Oryctolagus cuniculus: one gene and its partners. The protein of the gene in region 1 interacts with the protein of each later gene in a biochemical or structural test. Links are inferred from orthologs where the notes say so. Each region holds a gene or a part of one and is shown on either strand. Other genes may lie near its edges.

Region 1 (4,774 bases):
CTGAGTCCTCTCTCGAGGCTCCATGGGAACTCCTCCTCGAGGCCACGCTCCATACTTATGCACAGTAATAAGTCTCCTGTAGCTTAAAGGACTTAACACCCTGAGATCCCAGCACAACGTGCTTCCCAGAGAGCTGCCGAGACCACTGCTGTTCAAAGTGTGGCCCAGGGACAGCAGCACCAGTGCCAACTGGGAGAGAGAGAGTCAGAAAGGCAGGATCTCAGAGCCTGGACCCCATCCCCCTGCTGAGACCACGTGGCCAGCACCAAGATGGGAGGCTGGCGGAGAGTCCCTGGGCCTCTCCATCTCCAGCGTGCTGGACTCTACCTCCAGAACGGGGATGGGAAGCCTCTGTTTCTGCCAAGGGCCACTTGGATATTTATAACGTCGTTCGTGGACCATATAAAATGATCCAACTTAACAATCAGCCTGCTATACATGTACTGAATTTCAAAGTCCCGTCTGGGATTGCCCTGGCAGGGCCAGACAAGGTGATTTTGTGGGCCTCGTACAGCCTGCGGGCTGGACGTTCCCACCCCTGCTCTAGGACCGGCTGCAGGAGCAGCCCTGAGAAGCATGGTGCTCATCCAGCAGCCGGCAGGGGCCTGGAATTCCACAGGCACCTGACCTCTGAGCCTCAGCAGGTACAGTGGGCGCGTGCCTGCCTGGTGGGGATGACAGCAGATTTGCAAGAGCCTTCATCAAGCCACAGCTACCACTGCACTCCCTGTAACAGCCCAACAACCAGTCACGTCTTTCAGGGTAGACTGTCAACAGTGCTTTCCAGTTCATGGCGACATTGGCTTTGGGACACATTCTCACCTAATGCTCTTTGGTTTGCAGATAGGGAAAAGTAAAGTGCAAACGGAGGAGCTGACCCGCTCAAGGTGACAAGGCAAGTGCAATCCTGACGCCATCCCGGGAGTCCCTGATGCCCGCTCCATACCCTAAGCACCTTAGGTCTGCGCCACCACCTCTTACCCACGACGTCCAGTTGGTAGGTGTGGTTGATGCTGCCGTACTCGTTCTCCACAATGCAAGTGTAGTTGCCCTTATCGGAGGGAACCACGGAGTCCATGATGATGCTCCAGGTGGCATAGCGGACCTGTGGGGAACAGGCAAAGGGCTCCACTGAGGGTCTGGAGGAAAATGCAGGCAGAGGCCATGGGGCCGTGTTGGTGCCTGTGGGACTGCCTCTCTCAGCTCCCCCATCAGAACTGCAGAGTAGCTGGGAGGAGGAACAGAGTACGTGGTGCTCAGCCCAGGTCCACTCAAACGAGCACGTCCATTAAACTGGCAGATGAGCGTGAGCCTTAGAAGTCTTCCCCGTGGTGCTCAAGGCCAGCCATGGTCTAACCAAGCTGTCTTCTGCAAACTCTCCCAAATTATACCAGGAATATTCTCAACCCTGTGCCTCTGTGCCTGGCTCCTGTTAAGAGTTTGGCCCGGGGCCGGTGCTTTACCAGCATAGCAGGTAAAGCCACTGCCTGCAGTGCCAGAATCCCATATGGGCACCGGTTCGAGTCCCGGCTGCTCCACTTCTGATCGAGCTCTCGGCCATGGCCTGGGAAAGCAGTAGAAGATGGCCCAAGTGCTTAGCACTTGGCACTCTGATATGGGTGCCATCATTCACTGCTTTCCCAGGCACATTAGCAGGGAACTGAATTGGAAGTGGAGCAGCTGGGACTCGAACAGGTGTTCTCATATGGAATGCTGGCATCACGAGTGGCAACTTAACTGGCTGCACCACAACACCAGCCCTATGTGTTTAAAAACTTTTTAAATGCATTAGTTAGAAAGCACTACTATTTAAAACAGAGGCATATGAGGGAGGATTTTCTTTTTTTTTTTTTTTTTTTTTTGACAGGCAGAGTGGACAGTGAGAGAGAGAGACAGAGAGAGAAAGGTCTTCCTTTTGCCGCTGGTTCACCCTCCAATGGCCGCCGCTGCAGCCGGCGCACCGCGCTGATCCTGGCAGGAGCCAGGAGCCAGGTGCTTTTTCCTGGTCTCCCATGGGGTGCAGGGCCCAAGCACCTGGGCCATCCTCCACTGCACTCCCTGGCCATAGCAGAGAGCTGGCCTGGAAGAGGGGCAACCGGGACAGAATCCGGCGCCCCAACCGGGACTAGAACCCGGTGTGCCGGCGCCGCAAGGTGGAGGATTAGCCTATTGAGCCACGGCGCCGGCTGAGGGAGGATTTTCTAACTCCCTTGTCCCATCCCTCCTCCTCTCCCTTCATATCTATGTGTACTAACCTTGTAGCCTCCAATCCTGTGGTCAGGTTTGAACTCTTTGCCATTTTTCAGCCAGCGCAGCGTGGGGTTCGGTGTCCCGCTGGAAGGGCACTTGAACTTCACGGTCTTGGCAGCCGGTACGGCGTGCAGTTTCTTTTCCATCTTTTCAGGGGATGTCCAGTACGGCGCTACGGCTGCCCGGGGAGAGCCAAGAAACGAGGGGGCTGGTCAGGTTCCGAGCAAGGGCCCAGGCAGGAGCGGGAGCTGCCTCGCCCATCTGCCCAGCACCTGTTTGCCACCATCCAGCATCAAGGGACACTCCAGGGGCTGCAGTCAGGCACCAGGACCCCACGTGCCCCTCCTTCCTCCTCCTCCTCCTCCTCCTCCTCCTCCTCCTCCAGTTTCAGCCAAGCCTTTCCCTTCCCTCTCCAACGAAACTCCCAGGCCCGTAAGATAGGAAACAGTGTCTCACGCATACGGTTTGGTTTGGTGTTATCTGTCTCTTTCTCCTCCGAAGAGGAGTCATCATCGTCGTCGTCGTCCTCCGACGAGGGGAGCGCATCTACGGGAAGAAGCAGCGCACTGAGGTCCCCTCTGACACAGCTCTGGATCTCCATGCCTATCAGCGGTCACCCCACTGAGACTGCTACCGATACGGACCAACACTGACTGCCCTCCCATATGGATTCCCACGGCCACTCTCCCTCGGCGTTCCAGAACTGCCTGCTCCTGTGCCTGGCCCTTCTCTCCCCAGTGGGGTCCTCTTTTGTTGGACTCCACCCTTCCCCCCTTAACTCACAGTACCCCGGGTCTCAGAACCACAACCTGGGAAACCTGTGTCCTTCTTTGTGCTGCCAATCACTGGGCCACACAGGCTGATGGAGACACAGTGGAGCTAGACGCTAGCTGCAGGGACGGACACGGCGCAGCTGGTTAAGCTGCCACCTGTGATGCTGGCAGCCCATATGAGCGCAGGTTCAAGTCCCGACTGCTCCACTTCTCACTCAGGACCCTGCTAATGCGTCTGGAAGAGCAGCAGCAGAGGGACTGAGTGCCTGGGCTGGGCCCCTACCACCCACGTGGGAGACCTGGATGGAGTTTCTGGCCTGTCTCTAACTCTCTCTCTGTAACTCTGCTTTTCATATAAACAAATGTTTTTAAATAAAAAGAGCAGCAATTAGTTTCAAAGTCAGGGTCCCGACACCTGCAGTCCGAATTTTTCCTGTGTGTCACCTGCTCAGGCTTGGGCACCGCCCCCAGCACCCGGCCTGCAGCTGCCGACACCTCTGCCCACCAAGCATCCACCCCTTGTCAGAACAGGCTCCACAAACACGTGGTCACCAATCAGGGTTCAAGGCAGGTCTTTTCCCAAGCCTGCCCCGCACTTTCAGGGTGGGGGAGAGGGAAGATGGGGGCATGTTCAAAGTGACACCTAAGGGGAGGCTTACGGGCTGCACACCTGGCCCGCCTCCCTGGGCTGCACAAATAGCTTCTAGAACATTTCAGCTCACTTCCTGCAATCACAGTCGCTTTCCAAAACTGGCAGATTCCCAAAGTCACAGAGCTCTGGGGTTCCCTGGCTGCCCTCATGGCTCCAAAGCTAGAGGCCAGGCGCTTGCTTCCTGGAGAGCCTGCGGGCGGGCAGGCGAGGCGGTGCAGCCCCGCCGGATTCTCCCCATCATCACAGCAGGGACCTCCGCCACAATGTCTGGGGCTCTAACTCCTCTGTTAGAGTACCAAGACCCACCGGACCGACTGACAGTGGCAGGATGGAGCTCTGGGCCACGCTGTGGTGGCAAAACCGCAGGGCCTTAACGCCCCGAGGGCATCTCTGGCTGAGGCCTGCTCCACCTGACCATCCCTCTGAGAGCCAAGCCACGCGGCGGGCAGGGAGCAATGTTAGTGGGCAGCGGATCGGAAGCAGAGCGTGGGGCAGAGGCTCGCTCCCTCGGAAACAGTGGGCCGGAGGGGGTAGGTGCGGGGAGAGCGTGAGGGCGGGGCTTTGCTACCAACCTGAGACGTTGACGGAGAAGTAGGTGGTGTCGCTGCCCGAGGGGCTGCTGGTCACGCATGCGTAGAGGCCGGAGTCGGCGGGCACGGAGTCCCGCACCTCCACCTCCTCGCCCGTGATGCGCGTGCGGTTGCTTTCTGCCAGCTGCACCCCGTCCCGCAGCCAGTTGATGCTCTGCACATCGTCCCGCAGCCGACAGCGAAGCTGCAGCAGGTCACCCGGGTGGACCAGCAAGGACTCCACTTCCACAGGGGCTCCCCAGGGCTGGGCTGCAGCCACCCCAGGGACGGGCAGAGGAGGCAGTGGCGGGCGAGGGAGGAGGGAGAGACAAAGGGGGAGTTACGCTGGCCACCACCGGGCCTCACTTCCTCGAACTGGCGTTGGGGCTGGGAATACGGGTCAGTGGGAAGACAGCTGGCGGCCTGGGACCCCTGGCTCCTCTCCCCCACCCCGCTCCTCCAAAAGTCAAAGGAAGAAAAGAGGCAAAGTTAGGAAGCAGCTGCAGCAGCGTTAAGCGGATCACACTGCG
Region 2 (4,801 bases), on another chromosome or scaffold:
TTCAACGGCCAGAGGACTTTGGGGATGCACAGGAGAACCCCGGGTGGCTGCCAGTCGAGGGCAGGCATTGGCAGAAAGACCTGGGGGAGAACCTTCCTGTCCTTTGTTACCAAGAGCGCCTACTGTGTGCAGTGGGAGGAGTCGGCCGCCTGCAAGGTCCTTTGCTGAATTTACCAGCAAACGGGAGAGCAGGCCCTGGGGTGCCCTGGGGGGAAGAGAGGCGCTGGGCAGACCTCAGAGGGCCTCTCGTTGCCCAGGGTGGTCGCAGGCCTAGGTCTCCCCTCCCCAGAGCAGGTGCCCAGGGGGACCTGGGCTGGGGGCGGGGGGAGCCCACTTACCATGCTGGCTTGCAAAGAGAGCCCAGGCGGAGAGAGAAGAGGACTTGCGCAAGAGCATGGTGAGTGAGGAGGAGGCGCCAGGGCTCCTGCACCCTGGCCGAGACGGGGGCTCAGCGGCCGAGACGGGGGCTCAGCGGCCGGAGCTGTGAGCTGGCGACCCCGAGAGGCCAGGCCTTGGCAGGTGCAGCTCAGACCAGCTGCAGGCCCAGAGAGCAGCAAAAGGCCTCGCTGGGTGGGTTGGGGGTGAGGGGTCTGGAGACTGGGGGTTCTGGTGTGAGTGCCCACCCCACCCCCGGGCCTCTGGGCAGAGACCTCAGGCCTCTCAGGTCCCTGCCAGGGATGGGGGGGTCTGACTCATGCTCATCGCTGTGGCGGGGACAGTGTGGGAGGTGGCCTGGGTCAGCTCCAATCACAGTGCTGGTGACAGCAAGGGGTGGGGTGGACTCCAGGCCCCCTGCGGCTGTGGCTGGGCGGGGTCTGCTGGGAGGCCTCAGGCCAGCTCCTCAGGTACCAGAGAACAGCGATTTTCACACCTGGGGGAGCCGCGCCCATCGCACCCTCAGGGAGGGGGAGGGGAGCCTCGGAAAGGCTGGCCGGGTCCCTGCTGGCTGCACTGCTGTCCTGCACTGTTCCTGCTTCGGAATCCGGGCGGGAGGTGGGTGTCCACCGAGACTGGCTCCTGCTGCCTCTCCCTGCGCGGAGGTGGGCGTGTGCAGGGAGTGGGGGGCCGTGGCCGCCCCTGGGCGCCTGCCAGACACCCTGACTTCCCTTGGCAGCCCCCACACCACGGAACCCCACCCCTGGAGGTCCACCCCTGCCCGGCCAGACCAGCGCGGCTGCTTGCTGGAGCCACCCCTTCCCCAGAGGCCCGTCCCTGAGGCGCCAGCAAACACACAGCAAAATAAAAAACTGGGTTCCCGGGAAGCCCCCAAAACGTGCAGTGCTGGCAGAGGGTGCGCGAGTTGGGGACCCGCCCGGGGCACCCGAGCCGAGGCCGGGACAGGCAGCGACAAGGTGCCAAAGGCAGAACCTGGGCGTCGGAAAAGCAGAAGCCCAGGAGATGCGAGGGGCGGGACGCACAGCGCAGGGGGCCGGGCGGAGCCAAGGGTGGGGGCCGGGGTCCCTCCAGGTGGCACTCGCGGCGCTCGTCCCCGGCCACCTCCCCTCCCCCGGCGCTGATTGGCAGGAGGCCTGCGACCGGCCGCGAGCGCCACAGCGCCCCGGGCGCCCAGCGAACGCGGACGGCCCCCCGCGGGCGCGGGCGGGCGGGCGGGAGGGGGGCGCCGGGCTATATAAGTAGCGGCTGGCGCCCAGGCCCGCCGAGCGCACACAGAGGCGCGCACCGCTGCGCCGGGTCCCAGCCCGGGCCGCGCGTCCCTCCGCAGCCGCCCGCCGTTCTATGCAGCCGAGGTAGCGCCCGGCGTCTGGAGGCCCCGTCGCTCGCCGCCACCGCTCCGCGTCGCGGCCCAGATCCCGCGCTCCCGCGGGGCGTCACAAGCGCGCCTCGGCCCCGCGGCTGCCCCGGCGCGCGCACCCCCGGACGGACGCACGGCCCGCGGGCCGGCATGGCGGGGCCCGGGACGGCCGCGGCGGCGCTGCTCCCGGCGGTCCTGCTGGCCCTGCTGGCGCCCTGGGCGGGCCGCGGGGCCGCCGCCGCGCCCGCCGCACCCAACGGCACGCGGGAGGCCGAGCTGGAGCGCCGCTGGGAGAGCCTGGTGGCGCGCTCGCTGGCGCGCCTGCCCGTGGCCGTGCAGCCCAAGGAGGTGACGGTGCAGAGTGGCGCCGGCGACTACCTGCTGGGGATCAAGCGCCTGCGGCGGCTTTACTGCAACGTGGGCATCGGCTTCCACCTCCAGGTGCTCCCCGACGGCCGCATCGGCGGCGTGCACGCAGACACGAGCGACAGTGAGTGGGGCCGGCCGGGCGGGAAGGGTCGGGGCCGCCCCTTCCGACTCTCGCCGGCGCTCTGGAGGCTCCGGCCGGGCACCTGCCGGTTGGCTTCCGAGAGCCGGTCAGGCTCGGACTCCGGTCCCCGCCTCCCCAGGACCGGGGCGCACGCCTGGCTCCGCCTCTCCGCCCTCGGAAGCCCGGGCTCCGGGTGCCGAATTCCAGCCCCTTCACCCCGTGGGCACGGAGCGCGCGGCGCGGCCGCTGGCGCCCGCGGGGGCCCGGGACACGCGCCCAGGCTGGAGCCGGCCTCAGGGGCCGCCGTGGCCTCAGGGGGAAGCTTCGCTCCTGCGGTCCCGGGATGGGCGCGGGTGCGGCGGGCCCCCGACTCCCGCGAGCGGGTCCGGCCTGTGCACGCACGGACCCTGGAGGTCCTTTGGGGACGTGGGGGGGGGGGGCAGCCTGCACCAGAGGATCCCATCCCCACCCGGGAAATTGGGTTCCCGGAGGTGTGCCAACCTGGGGGCTATGTGGGCCAAGGGTCACCTGCCCCCAAATGACGCGCGCCCCTCCCCCAGGCCTGCTGGAGCTCTCGCCCGTGGAGCGGGGCGTGGTGAGCATCTTTGGCGTGGCCAGCCGGTTCTTCGTGGCCATGAGCAGCAAGGGAAAACTATACGGCTCTGTGAGTACCACGGGGGCTCGGCCCCTCCTGGCCCACCTGTGCGGGCTGCCAACCATGGCAGTGGGATCTCTAGCCCCTCAACGTGCCCAGGGACAGGCAGGCATAGCAGCAGCCCCAAGAGAGGAACCCCCCACCCCGTCCCGCCGTCCAGGAGTGGGCGGTGAAGGGTCCCTGGAGCCCCCCTCCCTGGGGGCGGGGAGGTCCTAGCCAGCAGGCTGGCGGCTGAGTGTGAAATTCTCTGGCTGCGAGGTACCTGGCAGGTGGCGCAGGCACCAGCTGTCACACACGGACCGGCCATGTGCGGCTCCTCCTTGTGAGGGTCTGGGCTCCCTGACCGCCCAGGAGAGACCCTGTCAGCACAGAGCCGGCCCTGTGGTCACCTGTGCCCTCCCCTCCCCGCCCCAGTCCCTTCCCCGGGAGATGGCTGCAGCTCATGGCAGCCTTCTCCCCCCTCTGCCCCCAGCCGTTCTTCACTGAGCAGTGCAAGTTCAAGGAGATCCTGCTACCGAACAACTACAACGCCTACGAGTCCCACAGGTACCCCGGTATGTTCATCGCCCTGAGCAAGAACGGAAAGACCAAGAAGGGGAACCGGGTGTCGCCCACCATGAAGGTCACCCACTTCCTCCCCAGGCTGTGACCCCCCCCCCCGGGGAGGGCAGTCCTGAAGGCTGTCTTGTGCACTTTCTTTGGTTGGAGAGTTGGACGAACACAGGAGCGGGTGTAAGATATTTAACTTAATTATTTAAATGTGTATATATGGCCACCAAATTATTTATAGTTCTGTGGGTGTGTTTTGTATTTTTTTCTGGAAAGAAAAGAAAAAGGACAAAAAAAAAAAGACAACAACGGAAAGCGACTGTGCCTGTTTTGGTGCAACAGTGGAGAATCTGGAGAATCTGTCCGTCGGGTCGTCGTCGCGAATGTGCTGCTACCGGGTTCCAGCCTGGACTCTGCTTCGCGCCGGCCCCTGGAGTGCGGTGGCCAGCGTCCCTCGTCGTGGAAGGGGCCTGCCCCGGTTCCGGAGTGCCCGGCCCCTGGCCGCCTCGGCCAGCCACGGCCAGCGGCCCCCTCTCTGCCCCGCGCCCCGGGGCCGCGCGTCGTGGGGGAGGTGCCGCTCACTGCAGGCTGCTGAGCCGGTTTTAGATCTGCGAGACTGACCTTTGAACTTTCCTGTAGTCAATCTTCCTCGACCTACCAGATGGGTGAGAGACCCCAAGACGACTTTGTAAACTCCCGGCTTCCTTTTTTTGGATCAGCCCCGGCCCGCATTGCTGTAGCCGGCCCGCATTGCTGTGGCCCGCATTGCTGTGGCCGGCGGGGTGGGACAAAGACAAGCTCGGGGGTCTCTGCGAGCCGGAGCCGAGACGCTGGCGAGGAGGCAGCGTGCGACCCCAGACACGCGCTCGGGGTAACCTCTCAGAGAATGTATTCTTTTTTTTTTTTTTTTTTTTGAGCCAGGCTTCCCTCTGCGTGGGGAGCGTAAGCCTAGGGGTAGCTGTTCTTTTTAATGGCGTGTCCGTGTGGCTGCACGGTGGACGCGGAGTGTGCGTGGAGACTGCTGCGTTCCCTGGACCGGTCCAGGTGACATCTACCTCACGAACCCCCAGAGCGCTCAGAGCCCGGGCCGCCCGGCGTGCTGTCTCTCCTGCCGTCCGTAGCCCGGCGGACTGCCGAGAGCAGCGTCGGTGCGCCCCGCTGGAACCCTGTCCCGTTCGAGCTATCTTTACCCCAGCTTCTCTTTTAGTACGAGTAATCATGGTGAAAATATTCACAGACAGCTGCAGGAGCCAGTGCGTGGCCACCAAGTAACCTTATATTTCTCTTTATATATTTTACAAATGTCACCCCTGTCGCTGGAGCGGAGATGGAAGAGGCAGAGTCGGTCGGTGAT
Region 3 (5,213 bases), on another chromosome or scaffold:
TAGGCAAAAACCAAGTTCTCAGCCCACCAGTTATGGGCAATTCCTGGCGCTGCACAGGCGGCTGAGAAGGGGCCCTGTGGAAGGAGTCACTGCCAAGAGGGTGGTCCCTGCACCCCCAAAGCCTGGGCTGGACCCTGCTGCTTCCTGACCATCTCATCGCCTTTCCAGAGTGGTCAAAAGGGTGTCTGAGAACTCCAAGTGACAGGCTAGGTTTCATCTCTGGGCAGGTGTACCACGGAGGCAGGTGTACCCCGGGGGCGAGATGATTCCTTGCCCCCCAGAAGTCCTGTTTCCAGGTGGTCCCCAAGCCTGCCTGTGTCCCAAAACACAAGAGACATTTAAAAACAAAAGTGACACTTGGGGCCAGCATTATAGCATAGCTGGTAAAGCTGCCGCCTGCAGTGCCGGTATCCCATATGGGAGCTGGTTCGAATCCTGGCTGTTGCACTTGAGATTCAGCTCCTTGCTAATGGCCTGGGAAAGCAGCAGAAGATGGCCCAAGTGCTCAGGCCCCTGCACACACATGGGAGACTTGGGCTCCTGACCTTAGCCTGGCCCAGCCTAGCTGCTGGGGCCATTTGGGCAGTGAACCAGCAGGTGGGAGCTCTCTCTCTCTGTCTGTTTCTCTGTCTCTCCCTCCCCCTACCCACCCTTAACTCTGCATTTCAAGTGAATAAAATAAATGTTTAGAGAAAAAAAGCAGACATTTCTAAACTAATCCCAGCCCTACTGAGTCAGGGTATCTGAGGAAGGTCCCGGGATACCTGTACTTCCACAGATTACCAAAGTGATATGGATGCAGACTGTCCACAGAACTGCATGGCAGGTCCACTGACTTTCCTCCATACTACATATTCATGCAAATCAACCAGAGATGCTAGCCCTAGGATGACGGGCCACCTGGTCAACCATTCACACGTTTCTTGACCCTCCTCTGTTGAGATCAGTGCCTGGAGCCCGACACCCATCCCAGAACTATTTGTTCAGTCCCCGATTGTCAGTTTGCCCTCCACGCCCTTCCCATAAATAACTCTGCTTGGTATTCCTTGAGGATTGTTCTGGGGCTGTCCTTTTTAGCCTCCTTATTTCTGTACTCACAGATTCTTCAGCTTTGCAGGGATGTCTTCCCAGCCCATGTTTCTGGAATACGCCAAATCTCAGACTGCAGAACCCTGGGCATGAGTGGCTCAGAAGCCAGAGGCTTTGGCAAATGTGTATGGTGGGTGGCTACGTGAACCCAGGGGCCAGTGTGTGCCTTCCTGGGTGTGACCCAGGTGGTGCAGGGACAGCTGGACCGGGGCTGCCCAGAGAGCCCGACAGGGAGGTGCATCAGGGGACTTCCGAGCTCAGCACGTATGGAGGTGCAGGGAACCAGCCCCACCTGTGCCCCGGGGAACAGCCTCACACCAGCACCAAGGCTTCCCTGCAACCCAGAGCTCCCTGAGCTGTGCTTTCTGATTCATTGCAGAGGCCCTGGCATGTGGGGTCAGAAAAATCACGGCCCAAGGCCAAGGCTGACCAGATGGAAGCTTCAAGGCTCAGGCTCCTTGCACGGCTCCTGCTTTCCTCATCTGAGATAACGATTCCCTCCTCAACTTGGGATTCTGTGTTCTTTTCTTCAATGGGGCAAGGCCAGGCCTCCCCTACGCTGGCGCATCCCCCTGCCCGGTGAACTCACCGTCGTGTACAGTCTTCCTTTACTATTCATGGCAATGAAGAGGGCGCTTTTCACTCCAAAGAGACTCACCACGCCTCGCTCCACTGTGGAAATTTCCAGCAGGCCTGACAAAGAGATGGGGAGCACGTTACCCGGGGCGTGTGCGGATCAGCCTGCCAGGAGCGACTACGTCCGCCCCCCTTGCTCCTAGAAAGTCAGACGCTCGCCACCTGTGTCCTCCATCCCTCTAGCTTTAGGAATCCTGGGTGCGAGTCCTGCCACGACACCGTTACAGGTTCAGTTCTGCAGGGAGAAGCTCTGCACACCCCTCTGCGTCTAGTTGAGGTGGGTTTTAAATCTGAGATTTCCCTGCCGTAATCAGGCAGGTCCTTGTTGTGGGCAAAACCACACATTTCCTGTTTATTATCATTATCATTTAACGTCCAGCTCACATGCATCAACCAATCTCGCCCCCTCTAAGCTCACAAACACTGGCGAGGGTCCTGCAGCCCCCATGCTCCCCCCCGGGGTAGGAGACCATCCATGCAGCAACCTCTCGACTTCAAATTAAAGACCTGGGGACCGAGCAAGCAGGCTGAAAGAAAACGAAGGGTGTGCTTCAGCCAGAAACTTTGCAGCTTGCCTTTCCTTCTCCTGAGTAAAAATAAGCCGGTGTCTAATTTGGTCCAAGGGTCCAGATTCATCCTCCCCACCCCAGCTTGCGGCATCCACAGCTGATGGTTCTTACCAGGACTCCGATGGACCCCACAGGACACCTGGATACTTGGGCCCGACCCCATGTAATCTGCGTCCAGGCAGAATCAGAAGGAGCCATTCGAGGGGTAACATCCCCCCCACCACAGCAAGGCCCCCAGGTCTGTCGGCCGTGCTCCAGCCTGAGCCCCCCGCGTCCCCGTGGGCTGCAAGGGCACTCACTGTAGGGACTCTCCTCGTGGACTCCACTGACCCGGCCGTCGGGAGGCACCTGGAGGTGAAAGCCGATGCCCACGTTGCAGTAGAGCCTCCGCTGCCGCTTGATGCCCACCAGATAGCCACTCTCCCAATTCACCCCGGCGATCTCTCCGGCCAGCCCAGCGCGGGACCTGGACAGCAGGGCGCCCCAGCCTCTGGAGGCCAGCAGCGTGCTGTTGGCGCGAGTGCCGGCCGGCGAGGGCACCACCATACCCACTAGGACGCCGAGGAAGACGAGAGCCCGCAGCGTGCCCTGAGGCCGTCCTGCTCCCCGGGACATAGTGATGAACAGCCTCTGTCCCCGCGCCATCCACCTTGCCTCTCAGGCACGTGGTCAGAATTAATGGCCCTAAAAATACCCCCCTTCTTGTTTTTCTCCCCTCAGCATGGCGGCAGGGGCTTATTTTTGGAAGGCAGATGAAGGCTGCTGACACGAAACCAAAGCCTGCTCCGGGCACTCGGGCTGAGAGCCTCGGGACCGGAGCTGAGCCGCGGCCGGTAGGGACCATGGCTTGGGGACGCTCTCTAGGTGGCCTGCTTGTTGTGTCCCGAGCTGATTATATTGGATTTGATCTATCTTTATAGCTCGGCAGCCCGGCCCTCCCCTGCACCCATCAGCACCCTGACGCCAGCCGGCCCAGGTCCCTTGCCCAGCCCTGTAACATTAACCTGCCCCTGGGCCTGGCTGCCTCCCCAGACCCCCATCGCCCTCCCCACTCCCCAGGGATTCTGGGAGCCACTGTCATTCCAACTATGAGGCAGGAATGAGGTTAGCAGGGAGCATCTCTGTGGGGGGAGGGGCAGCTGGCTGGGGGCCCAGGGGGAAGAGGGAGGCGAGAGGCCACCCAGGACCCAAATTGGGCAAGAGTTCTTGGGCTGGCAGTGCCAACTTCCTTATTTAGAGGGCAAACGGTAAAGACAGGGATGAGAGAAGGCGTGGAGGCAGACGGTGACAGTAGCCTACAAGTGTCTGGGAGACTTTTCATGGAAAGAGCTCGTGGTGAGGAGGGAGCTGAGAACGCAAGCCCTTTTGCAGGAGGGCATGGAGATTCTGGTTGGGGGCCGCTCTGAGGCGTCTTCGGGTTACGGAGGGCGGGAAGGCTGGGCCCAGTCCACCTGCTCACCATCCTGGTTAAGGCAGTCACCCCACAGGGGGGATGTTGTATCTGGACTTGAATAGCTCACTGATAACTCCCCTACCTGCGCTCCTCCTTGGGCTGTGCCCTGTGTTATTCCCATCATACAAGGGAGGAGGCTAGGGCTTAGGGATGGTGAGTGTCTTGCCCACGTTACCACAGCTTGCACACAGCCAGGTCGGAAATTGGAGGTATGTGCGTGATCATCCCTAGAATCAGCGTGTCGATTTCCGGGCTGCTCCGCCGAGTGGGTTTAGCTCACTCCATCCAGGAGTACATCGTGGGATTATTTCAGTAGCACAAAATGACGCGTTTCTTTAAAGATCCTTCCCAGAGACCTTTGACGTGCCTGGTATTTTCTGCATATGCCAGGCTGATATTACAGACAGAAAGTAGCAAAAACACTGCAGCTAACAAGTTTTGCCTACACTCAATTTTCTTCTCCCGTATTGCTTTTAAATAGATTACATGTCTAACTGATGCAACAAATCCCTTTTTCAAAAAGCTACCAAAAAAGCCTCATCTACCAATTGCTATGCAAATGTAAGAAAGAAGGAATTATGTTTCTGAAGGCAAAATGATTCTTTTAAAGGATTAATTTATTTATTTGAAAGGCAGGGTTACAGAGGGAGGGAGCAAGAGAGAGACAGAGAGATGGATCTTCCGTACACTGGTTCATCCCCCAAATGGCTGCAATAACTGTGGCTGGGTTGGGCAGAAGCCAGGAGCCCAGAACTCCATCCTGGTCTCCCATGTGAGTGTCAGGGGCTCAAGCACTTGGGTCATCATCTACTGCCTTCCAGGCACATTAGCAGGGTCCTGGATGGGAAGTAGAGCAGCCAGGACTTGAACCGGCACTCGTAGGGGATACCAGCATTGTAGACTGGAGTTTAATGCACTGCACACAACACGGGCCCCATGAAAGTGAAATAACTTAACAAGGGCCACGCAGGAAATGAACTCTAGCTTAAAATCTAGGCTTCTTCCCTTACACCTGAGGTCTTCATCAGCACTGATGGGGAGGGCTGTGTGGGTGGCGGCAGGGGCAGTAGACACGGGTTTGAGCACAGTGTGCGGGCAGGAGCTGACCCAGCTGACAGACTTCACCTGCGTGCCACACCCACACTGCAGGCAGCCTGGGAAAGCCATGGGCGAGTCCCTAGCTCCCTTCTGAGCCTGAAGCTCCTGCCGTGCCTGGGTCCCTGCCTCTGGTCTGTGGCTTTCACCTTCCTCCTGCCCATCAGTCTCGCTCATTTGGACTGATGCTTTGGCTTGAATCTCTGTCACACTGTATATGTCAGTCTCGCCTATGCGTGCTCTCCTTGAACCCTTGAAGGCAGGGCATGGCATTGCCCTCCGCTGGGAAACAGAGTTGGGGAGACAACCGGGCTTCATTGCTTGCTGGTACCCTCACCCAGGGCCCTGCCCAGCCTCCCAACCATCCTAGT

Evidence for each region. The genes of interacting proteins can lie anywhere in the genome.
Region 2: the proteins of FGFR1 (region 1) and FGF4 form a complex in vitro, tested with the Homo sapiens proteins (2 studies listed by BioGRID and IntAct, with this or other methods). The link is inferred for Oryctolagus cuniculus from reciprocal best matches to the Homo sapiens genes FGFR1 and FGF4.
Region 3: the proteins of FGFR1 (region 1) and FGF6 interact in a biophysical measurement, tested with the Homo sapiens proteins (2 studies listed by BioGRID and IntAct, with this or other methods). The link is inferred for Oryctolagus cuniculus from reciprocal best matches to the Homo sapiens genes FGFR1 and FGF6.

The regions. Positions count from the first base shown.
Region 1 is NC_091433.1:88,163,455-88,168,228, forward strand, and holds part of FGFR1 (fibroblast growth factor receptor 1), read right to left. Parts: intron 4,515-4,774; coding exon 4,248-4,514; intron 2,797-4,247; coding exon 2,707-2,796; intron 2,429-2,706; coding exon 2,256-2,428; intron 1,106-2,255; coding exon 982-1,105; intron 1-981. UniProt on the Homo sapiens protein: Tyrosine-protein kinase that acts as a cell-surface receptor for fibroblast growth factors and plays an essential role in the regulation of embryonic development, cell proliferation, differentiation and migration.
Region 2 is NC_091432.1:3,166,913-3,171,713, forward strand, and holds FGF4 (fibroblast growth factor 4), read left to right. Parts: upstream 1-1,903; coding exon 1,904-2,243; intron 2,244-2,803; coding exon 2,804-2,907; intron 2,908-3,370; coding exon 3,371-3,547; 3' UTR 3,548-3,757; downstream 3,758-4,801. UniProt on the Homo sapiens protein: Plays an important role in the regulation of embryonic development, cell proliferation, and cell differentiation. Required for normal limb and cardiac valve development during embryogenesis.
Region 3 is NC_091440.1:105,003,974-105,009,186, reverse strand, and holds the start of FGF6 (fibroblast growth factor 6), read right to left. Parts: upstream 3,345-5,213; 5' UTR 2,940-3,344; coding exon 2,594-2,939; intron 1,783-2,593; coding exon 1,679-1,782; intron 1-1,678. UniProt on the Homo sapiens protein: Plays an important role in the regulation of cell proliferation, cell differentiation, angiogenesis and myogenesis, and is required for normal muscle regeneration.